Linked DNA regions of Caenorhabditis elegans. The protein of the gene in region 1 binds, or shares a complex with, the protein of each later gene. Each region holds a gene or a part of one and is shown in the gene's direction. Other genes may lie near its edges.

Region 1 (5,245 bases):
GGCGTGCGTCGGCAGAGCCACCTTCGGAGCCGGCATGTGCACACGCATTCTGGAGAGCTGGGACTTTGTCACATTGTCAAGAGCATCCTCAGAAGCCCAGAGATCATAGGATTTGTGCTCTTCCTTCTTGGCTCGCGGCCCCTTAGCCCAGCCCATTTTGATGGCGTGGACCATACGGGACACCATTCGCATTTCATCTTTAGATGGGATAAATCTGGATTTAGGTTCTGGACGATTATCGATTGGATGGATTTCTTTTTGGGAGGAGAAAATGTCGAGGAACGGCTCGTATGGGTTGTAGCCGATTGTTGGGTACTTTCCGGTCGCGATATTGTGGATTTTTTCGATTTGCTCATCGGTAAGCTTCACATCAGTGCCAGTTTGCTTGTCGAACACTTTTCGCCTGAAAAAAATTAAAAAAATTAATATAAAATTACTTTATTTTATTGATTTTAACCACATAATTACCAGTAATCTGGATCTTCCATCTTCTCCAGGAAAGTCTCGATTTCTCCTTTCTTCGCGGGTTTTGCGATTTTCTCTCCAAACTTGTCATATCCAATGTGATCCTCATCATCGTACCATTTAATTGGAATGTTTCCAATCGTGTTTCGCAGATCCTTAAACAAAAAATTATATATTTTATGCTAAAATATGAAAAATAAGCCAACCTCCTCGTCAGAAGAATCATAATCATACTCGTCTGCAGGCTTTGGAGGAACTATCACCGGTTTGATGTCGAGCTTCTCGCCAAACTCGTCTTTCAGCGTTTTTGGCTTCTTTTTCCCATTTTCAAACTTTCGCTTGTTCTTCAGCGGAGTTGCCGCCGACGTTGAAGCCATCTGATGGAAATATATTAATTTAAGTGTTATATTTGAATTATTCATTTGAAAATTGAAGAAAGATTAAGCGAAAGTAAAGAATTATCGATGAAAAAGAGAAAATTAAGAAATTCCATTCGAAAAATTAATTGCGAAAGTTGGGGGACTAGAAAACTCAACGTGCAAGCGCGCTCCATTGAGACACGCGTTGCATCTACCGTAGTGCGTCGCGATTTTAGGCCCAACATTTTTCCGATTTCAATTTCTCTTTCGAACGTTTTTCCTTTTTGCTGCTGAATTTTTCGATTTTTTTTTCATAAAAGTAATATTTTCCATCAGAATTGTTGAATTGTAAGCTTATTTTTGAATATTTGCGAGTAGAACCCTTGATTTACCGCCTATTTGTCGAAATTTTCTCCACTTTTCTGTTTGACGATTTAAAAAAGAATTAGGACTCGAACTGCGTTATCAGTCTACAAATGATCCTTCTGTCGATCTAAATTATCTGAATATTCTGGTTCATGGCTTCAAAACTTCAAATATCCTTAATTTTCTTCTTTTTTTTGCTGCTTTGGCGGTCAGTTGAAAAATAATGTTACTTTTTCTTCTCGTCTTCTTACCGTTTCTACATTTCTTAACTTTGAAGTATGAATATATGTCCTTTACATAGAATTTAGATTGTTGGTAGAAATTCTGCTGGAAATTTCGTATTTTTTCGAAACACTTTCGCACTAGGCTGAATCGGTTAACTTGTTTATTACTTTATTCCTCGTTAACACATTTCACCTTTCTTAATCCTTCTATCTCGCTTCCAAAAATGCAGTTGGCTTTATTGGTTTATATTTTCGATTTTTCAATGCTCCGTCGCTCAAAATTATGTCTATTAATTACTTCTGTTTTTGCAAACCACTCATTTCTTTTTTTCAGGTAATCCAGTCGAAATGGCCAAGAGAACTAAGAAGGTCGGAATCGTCGGAAAGTACGGAACCCGTTATGGTGCTTCCCTCCGTAAGATGGCCAAGAAGCTCGAAGTCGCACAGCACTCCCGCTACACCTGCTCGTTCTGCGGAAAGGAGGCCATGAAGCGAAAGGCCACCGGAATCTGGAACTGTGCCAAGTGCCACAAGGTCGTCGCCGGAGGAGCCTACGTCTACGGAACCGTCACCGCCGCTACCGTCAGATCCACCATCAGAAGACTGAGAGATCTTAAGGAATAATTATCCTTTTGAATGTTGTTAATTTTTCACATATAAATATGTGTTCTACATTCGCCTTTTTGTTTTTTTTTTACTTCTTTTTAATACATATTAATCCCCCGAACGGGGCCTCCGTCATGTTCGAGCTTAACCTCGCTTCATTCGTCTAATACTTTTTCTCCGTTCGTCTCCTTCCGTAAAAGCAATTTGATAATTTAGAGAAAATAAAACTCCGAGAATGGGAGTTCCCGCATTCTTCAGATGGTTGACTAAAAAGTATCCGGCAACCGTGGTGAATGCCAATGAAGATCGTCAGCGAGACCAGGATGGCAACCGGGTCCCCGTAGATTGTACACAGCCCAATCCGAATTTCCAGGAGTTTGATAATCTATACCTGGATATGAACGGTATTATCCATCCGTGCACCCATCCAGAAGACAGGCCGGCTCCGAAGAACGAAGATGAGATGTTCGCGCTCATTTTCGAGTACATCGATCGCATTTATTCGATTGTCAGACCGCGAAGGGTAAGGAAAATCCTCAAAAAATGTGGAAATGGGTCCCAACCACGATCCACGTCGCCTAGGGTCGCTGCTGATGAATTTCCTGAACAAAAAGAGCATTTTCCAGGCGCTAGAAACCAGCGTTTTACCTAGAAAATAGTGAAAAATAGCGATTTTCGCGTGAAGAACTCAATGAAAGGTAGCAAAACCTCAAAAATTCAACATTTTTTAAGCAAAAAGACGCGGAATACTTCAACACTTAACGTTAATAATCATTTTTAGCTTTAAAATCTACTCTGGAAAAAGGTCCCGCCACATGGATTTTTGCTAGAAAAAACCCCCCGTAAATTCCAGCTTCTCTATATGGCGATCGATGGAGTTGCTCCGCGAGCCAAGATGAACCAGCAGCGAAGTCGTCGATTCCGGGCGAGTAAAGAGATGGCTGAAAAGGAGGCGAGCATCGAAGAGCAAAGAAATCGATTGATGGCCGAAGGCATCGCTGTGCCACCGAAAAAGAAAGAAGAAGCTCATTTCGATAGTAACTGTATTACTCCTGGAACACCATTTATGGCTCGACTCGCCGATGCTCTTCGATATTATATTCATGATCGGGTCACTAATGACGCGTCATGGGCTAATATTGAGGTGAATAGTTGGAAATTTTCGAGAATTTCGATGAAAAATTGACTCTGACAGTCCCTATTTTAAGGAAATTCAGTGGATTTTTGTTATAGAATGTGCCGGAAAATTGCCAGAAATCAAGGAAACATCATTTTTAATTTTAGCAAAACTCCAAGTTACAAAACTAGCTATTAACTTGATGAAAAAAAAGCGAAATCTCTAGTTTTTACAGTGAAAATCCTCCAATTTAGTTGAAAAACTAGACAAAACACCGAAAATTTTGCTTTATTCAAGAAAGTTGAGTTTTTGCCCTTAAAATCGGAAAAATAAACTTTTTTCCGAACGTTCTATCACATTTTCGGGTAATTTACGTTTGAAATTGAATTTTCTCTCTTTGAAATTCGAAAATAAACTCAAAATTTCATTCCCAACATGGTTATGGCGGCGAAAAATATAGTTTTTACAGTGAAAATCGTCGTCCATTTTATTTTAAAAATTGGATAAAAGACCAAAAATCTTGCTTTATTTGACGAGAAAGTTGATTTTTAATTAAATTTTATGGTTTTTCGGGCTCAAAATCGGAAAAATATGTTTATTTACGAAAATTCTATCATTTTTTGGCTAATTTTCGTTTGAAATTGATTTTTATCTCTTTGAAATGAAAACATAAACTCAACATTTCATTCCCAACAGAGAAAAAGCGAAAAATCTAGGTTTTACAGGTGAAAATCGTCCAATTTGTTTGGAAAATTCGACAAAACAACGAAAATTTTGCTTTTGTATTAAAATTTTCGGTTTTTGGTGCCTAAAATGAGACTTAAATCCCTAAAATTCACCTATCCAATCAAAATTTTCTGTTTTTTGTACCAAAAAATGAGCAAAAATTGGGTTCGAAATTAAAATTTTTTTAAAAATAAAATTAAAATTTCCAGATCATCCTCTCCGACGCGAATGTTCCCGGCGAAGGCGAGCACAAGATCATGGACTACGTCCGAAAGCAACGTGGCAACCCGGCTCACGACCCGAACACCGTCCACTGCCTCTGCGGAGCCGACGCCGACCTTATTATGCTCGGAATCGCCACCCACGAGGCCAACTTCAATATTATCCGAGAGGAGTTCGTGCCGAATCAGCCGCGGGCTTGTGATCTATGCGGTCAGTACGGTCATGAGCTGAAGGAGTGTAGAGGCGCCGAAAATGAGACCGATTTGGGCGATGACTACTGTAAGCCGGAGCAGCGAGAGAAGAATTTCATTTTTCTACGGATCCCGGTGCTCAGGGAGTACTTGGAAAAGGAGCTCTCAATGCCGAATCTTCCATTTAAATTCGACGTCGAGCGGGCTCTGGATGATTGGGTTTTCCTGTGCTTCTTCGTCGGAAACGACTTCCTTCCACATTTACCATCGCTCGAGATCCGAGAAGGGGCAATTGACAGACTGATTAAGCTGTATAAGGAGATGGTCTACCAGATGAAAGGTTATCTGACAAAGGACGGGATCCCGGAGCTCGATCGGGTCGAGATGATTATGAAGGGGCTCGGACGCGTCGAAGATGAGATTTTCAAGCGAAGACAGCAGGATGAGGAGCGATTCCAGGCAAGGATGTGTCGCTGAGACATTAGAAAACCGAAAAAAAAACGGAATTTTTGATTTTTCGGCTCTGAGAAACTGAAAAAAAAGGGGAATTTTCGATTTTCCAACTGTGGAAAACCGAAAAAACAAAACGGAATTTTTGTTGTCGCTTATGAAAAACCAAAAAAAAAGCGGAGTTTCTTATTTTCCCGCTATGAAACCGGAAAAAAAGCGGAATTTTTGATTTTTTGGGTGTGGAAAACTGAAAAAAAAAATGGAATTTTTGATTTTCCGGCTCTGAAAACCGAAAAATACGGAATTTTTGATTTTTTGGCTGTGGAAAACTGAAAAAAAAATGGAATTTTTGATTTTCCGGCTATGAAAACCGGAGACCGGAAAACCGGAGAAACCGGAAAACCGAAGGTATGAATAACCCAAAAAAAAAAAAAAGAGTTTCTTATTTTCCCGCTATGAAACCGGAAAAAAGCGGAATTTTTGATTTTTTGGCTGTGGAAAACTGAAAAAAAAAATGGA
Region 2 (4,862 bases), on another chromosome or scaffold:
AAAATTATTCATTTAGATATCTCCTGAAACAATTCCACGTGTTCTGTCAGTTCAGCACAGGCGATCCGGAAGTTGATAACTGGAAGTTGGATTTGATGGCTTCTGCTCCTTTCAGATTTTCGCTTTACGATTTCTTTAAAAGCTCCGTAACTCAAGTGCCTACAACCATAGTTTTTAGAGATATAACAAGTTGGTTTACTACTTTAAACTTTTTTCTCGTAATGTTAAATAATTTCAGTGTGCTGGCTTACTTATTGCCGTCCTTGGCGTTATCACAACATGTCAAATCCGTCGGATTTCGCTCCAGCGGCCAAATATCGTCAGTTCTTTGAGAAAAACGTGGAATTCTATGAAGTGATACTTGGCAAGATTCTCAAACGATTCTCGGCATTTGAAATGTGCGAGGAGCTTCTTGGATCACTGCGAGCTATCATAGAATTTGCATGGAAAGAGCCACAAACACTTCTGCTCCGTCATATCCAACTAGACATTCAACCACATTCTCTTGAACTGTTGAAACAAATGCAAGTGGTTGTTAGAATGCATCGGAGTGCGATTCAGAAAGAACAAGATGTTAGTTTTGAGCATTTCAAGATGAAACACTCACTTACAAAAAAGGCCTGTTGCGTGGGTCGACCCAATTTTTTTTTAGATCGGCCTGGTCGAGACCCCGGCCTCATTTTTTATTTGAAAAAAATTGTCAAAAACTAAAAAAAAATTTATATAAAAAGCTGAAAATTATCGTATTTTTTGCAAATTTGAAAGAAAAAACACCATTCGATATTAAAAAATCTTTAAATTCATCATTTAAACACGTTTTCCAACGAATGTTTTTCCAATTATTTTTTTCGAAAAATGGGTGGGCCCATCTCGGTCAATCTAAGAGAACTATGCAAATTATTTTTTCAGGAACACTCAGGATTCTGGAACTCTTTATTCTATAGTGGTGATTCGGCTAGAACACAGTCCAGTCGAAGACTTGTTAGCGAATTGTTAACACTAATGAAAGACAGCGATTCTTATGTTGGAACTCATTTTATGCCGGAAATGGAAGATTCTGTATTGGCAAATAGAACAGGGAATGAAACTTTTCATAAGGAAAAGTAAGAAAATACTGATTAAAACACTTTTTATTGATTGAAAAATTATTTCAGATTATACACATCACTTTTGAACGAAACACCAAAATCTGGTCTTGGAATACCTGATCATTTTGTTGATGGACCATCAAATCATATGCTGTTAACACCAATCGGACAACGACAAGTTTTGAATAGAGAAAAGTTAGTTTTAATTGTCTTTCGTTATATATTATCGTATTATATTATCTTTTGTAGACGTTTTGACTACTCCAATTGCATTAAAGATGATCCAAAAGCTCCAACAAGAAGCTACGAACTTGGGATTGCTGTTAAATTGACGACTTCTTTGGCTCAGAAGCTCAACGAACTTTCATTTGTTCAGAAAATTGGAGATCATTATTCACAACAAAGTGGTAAGTTGGAAATTATTGTTTTTTTTGTAATTCATGTTATTTCAGTAATTGGTGCAATTGCTCGTAAAGTAATGTATCCACCGGTGCCAAATCTAGATCCGAATGCAACAGTTCCAGCGTATTCAGCAAGAATTATACGATCACCTCCTTTGCTTCGTTTACGGGTAATTTAAAAGGGATTATCCGCCGATTTTAATTGGTTTTTTTTGCAGTATTTTGCCAGCTACCAGTCAATTTTCTTCATGATATGGCTACTATTCGCTCTGAAATACGGATTAACTTTTACAATTGTCTCTCTGATTCTCATCGCACTCTCGGTCACTGTACTCTTGTTCATTGAGCTCGATTCCGGGTCTTCATCATCTTACTGACACTTGTTTGTGATTTCTCTGCTCCACCACTGTCATCATCTCGTCTGTTTTTTTTTGTTTTCTGTCTGAATTTTAATCAAATCTTTTTAATTTATTTTTTTCTTCTAATCAAATTCTAGTTCGTTTCTTTTTTCATGGAGTAAACATTCAATCATAACGCGGCTTTCTTTCATAATCTATTTCAAGTTTAAATGTCAGCTTTAAAATATCTTACCGTTTCTATTTTTACGGAAATCCTATTGAAAAAATACTTTATTTTCAGAAATAATGGGGAAGTTAGAAGACGTGGAAGCTGAAAAGAAATTATGGGAGAGCGACGATGCGTGGGAGCTCCGAAAAGCATTCATGCTGGCACATTATGATGACTATCCGAAGTTTGTTTCAGCACTGGCCGACAATTCTGAAAAATGACTTATTGCACTATGTGCTCCAAATATTTTCATTAGAGTTCCAATATTTTCATTAAAAATTAGTGCCAAAATAAAGAAAATCACTTGATTTATCTTTAAAAAAAAATCATTTTATGCAGCTGAAATATTCAAAAAAGCTGTCAAAAATCACCTGAAAGCTACCAATCATCGAAAAAAATTGGAGTTTTTCATTCCTTTTTGAGCTCTTTTTTCGAATGTTTCAGTTAAAATTGATAATATTTTCAACTAAATCAAGTGAATTTCTATATTTTGAACATAATTTTTAATGAGAAGTGTTGGAAAAACATGGCGCAATACGTCATTTTGTAGAATTACCACCCATGCCTGATTTGTTTTGATTTCAAATTTTATAGATTTAAAAAATTAATGTTTCTAAATTGTGTTCTGGAAAAAAAAACATTAGTTTTATAATATCACACTTGTACTATTTCTAAAACAATTTTCAATTCCAGAATCCAACTTCAATGCCTCTCACAATTATTCATTAATGTAACACTTCTCGGATGTGAATATTCTCAGACTTTAATGCAAAAGATTCGAACAATGGGTGCTGGAATTGCTGCTAACAAAGTAAGTGATCTTCATTATTTAAAAATATATTTCAAATTTAATATTCAGGATCGTACAAAAACTGGAAGTTACGTGAAGGCATCTGCAGCGAAAAAGCGACAAGCAGTGAAGACATCAGATTTAGAAGGAGCTTCTGATGAGTCTAAGTAAAAAAAACTTTTCAAAAATTGCAATTTTCAATCTTTTTGTTCCAGAAAAGTAAAAATGGAAAAGTCTCCATCGCCAGTAGCTCGTGAATCTTTTGATGAACGTCTTGGAAAACTCAAGGCATCTCTTGCAATGGTGAACATTTCAGATTTAACTTTTAATCTTTTAATCTTTTAATTTCAGACACCTCACCATCTAACGGGCGAACAAATGATGAAAACTGCCACGAATAGTTGTCTCATGAAGTGGCACGTGAACAAGATTAACCAGAAAATTGAAATAACTATCGATCGATATGTGGCCTTCAGACATACGTTTGTATAAAAATCTTCGAAACTATTTGAATTTCATGTTCTTTCAGATTCTCCCAATACTGTGTTGATCCAAGGGATTGTGCAATCAATACTCTAATTGAAAGCATTCTTTCGTGTGACGCCGCTGTTCACGAAGAAAGCTACGAAATTAGATTTGATGGAGTTCCGGTGGACGAGTGTTACGCTAAATCAGTCACCAGAAGACTTGCAAAAATTAAATCAGCAGTTTCTAATGGTGCACATACAGTTAAAGGCGAGCTTTTTTCATTTAAAAAAACAGTATCACTAAATTGAATGAAACATTTGGTCTCAAAAGTAAGGATTATAAAAGTTGGAACAATATCTCTTCAAAAATCATTTTAGAAGTGGGATTGTTGAATTTGATTGCAAGCTCGTTTTATCAATTTTCGGCTGTAAACCCATTTTTATTAGCGGCAACACGTTTAAAAATTTTAAAATATTGCTTCCGGTACTTATGGATGCCGTTCCCTGAAACAATTATTTTTAGAAAATATATTTGAAAATTGGAAGAAAAAAACTCGAAAGTTTGTTACAGTACTCAATCCGAACGGCAATTGGAAAACAAATAATTTTGCCTTCTTTTGAAAAAATGTATTTAGAAAACTTTTTCAGGTCTTACAACATATTTGGATGCAGTTAACATGTCAATGATTCAAAATACTCAAAAATTGGAAGGATGGTCTCAACAACTTGATCTCGTCACTGCCGATCTTCTTCTATCTTCTCGTGTTTTATCCAGCACTGAATGCACTAAACCAGCGATGGCAACGATCGCGAATCAAATGAGCGAAGACGTGTGTCAACTGATTCTCAACGATAAAATCAACGTCATTAACTCTATGAAATCTCACAGCTCTCTTGCATTCCAATAATCTCAATTAGCTTGATCTAGGGGAGCTTACTTTTTTTGCACTCGTGAATATAATTTCTATTGTTTTATTTATATTTGGCTTTGGTTTTTATACAACTACATCAAATTTCCTATGAATTTTACTGACTAATCGTTGCATTTTTACTCTAATTTTTTATAATGATGTTGAATCTCATCATTTTTACCTCTTTCGAAATGTTCACCCGAATCTGTATACCTATATGTGATTTCAGATGTCCTTGGCATTTAGAACCCTTTCGTTCGGTATTAAAAGATCACAACCGAAAAAGAAAGATGCCGATGATCTTAACAAAAAGAAAGAACTATCAACGATCACAGAAGAATCGCTTCGGAGATATGACGAACTTCGTGAAAAAATGATCGGAAAAGTCGAGTCAAAAATTGAGAAAAAAGTGAAGAAAAATAAAAAGAAAGGTTAATATTGTCTATTTAGTATAATACTTATAAACCATTTGTAATATTCAGCGTCGATTGAAATTCTTGCATCACGAAAGAGAGTACATGATTCTGACGGAGATTCTGAAAATGAAGTGGAGGAGACCGTTGGCGACGTGGAAAAGAGAATGCAGAAATTGGTGAGATTTCTACAGAAATTTAATTTTTATTTGAAAAAAAATCTTC

The links.
Region 2: the proteins of xrn-2 (region 1) and paxt-1 are in contact, whole or in part, in a crystal structure (PDB 5FIR), measured with the Caenorhabditis elegans proteins. Residues at the interface, in NP_496958.2 of Caenorhabditis elegans: Arg548, Phe551, Asp552, Val553, Asp557, Phe560, Arg563, Tyr589, Pro591, Tyr592, His593, Asp647, Asp648, Ser649, Pro650, Ile651, Ile652, Asp653, Tyr655, Pro656, Ala657, Asp658, Phe659, Arg660, Leu675, Leu676, Pro677, Phe678, Asp680, Arg683; in NP_001379143.1 of Caenorhabditis elegans: Lys12 (codon at 2,167), Leu13 (codon at 2,170), Trp14 (codon at 2,173), Ser16 (codon at 2,179), Asp17 (codon at 2,182), Asp18 (codon at 2,185), Ile37 (codon at 2,751), Gln38 (codon at 2,754), Gln40 (codon at 2,760), Cys41 (codon at 2,763), Gln44 (codon at 2,772), Leu45 (codon at 2,775), Asn48 (codon at 2,784), Leu52 (codon at 2,796), Gly53 (codon at 2,799), Cys54 (codon at 2,802), Glu55 (codon at 2,805), Tyr56 (codon at 2,808), Ser57 (codon at 2,811), Thr59 (codon at 2,817), Leu60 (codon at 2,820).

The regions. Positions count from the first base shown.
Region 1 is NC_003280.10:14,153,532-14,158,776, forward strand, and holds the start of xrn-2 (5'-3' exoribonuclease 2 homolog), read left to right. Parts: upstream 1-2,236; 5' UTR 2,237-2,255; coding exon 2,256-2,543; intron 2,544-2,873; coding exon 2,874-3,164; intron 3,165-4,072; coding exon 4,073-4,735; intron 4,736-5,245. Other genes in the region: bop-1 (Ribosome biogenesis protein BOP1 homolog), read right to left, coding at 1-403, 469-620, 672-842; rpl-37A (Large ribosomal subunit protein eL43), read left to right, coding at 1,763-2,038. UniProt on the Caenorhabditis elegans protein: Possesses 5'->3' exoribonuclease activity. Plays a role in maintenance of steady-state concentration and turnover of microRNAs (miRNA) by degradation of mature miRNA. Degradation role is enhanced when in complex with paxt-1.
Region 2 is NC_003279.8:8,594,205-8,599,066, forward strand, and holds paxt-1 (Partner of xrn-2 protein 1), read left to right. Parts: upstream 1-2,128; 5' UTR 2,129-2,133; coding exon 2,134-2,240; intron 2,241-2,749; coding exon 2,750-2,867; intron 2,868-2,915; coding exon 2,916-3,013; intron 3,014-3,061; coding exon 3,062-3,149; intron 3,150-3,197; coding exon 3,198-3,328; intron 3,329-3,375; coding exon 3,376-3,581; intron 3,582-3,961; coding exon 3,962-4,221; 3' UTR 4,222-4,347; downstream 4,348-4,862. Other genes in the region: R05D11.9 (Sphingomyelin phosphodiesterase 4), read left to right, coding at 17-189, 239-573, 910-1,103, 1,155-1,283, 1,338-1,495, 1,541-1,659, 1,708-1,866; ddx-52 (putative ATP-dependent RNA helicase DDX52), read left to right, coding at 4,454-4,655, 4,707-4,816. UniProt on the Caenorhabditis elegans protein: Plays a role in maintenance of steady-state concentration and turnover of microRNAs (miRNA) by degradation of mature miRNA in complex with the exoribonuclease xrn-2.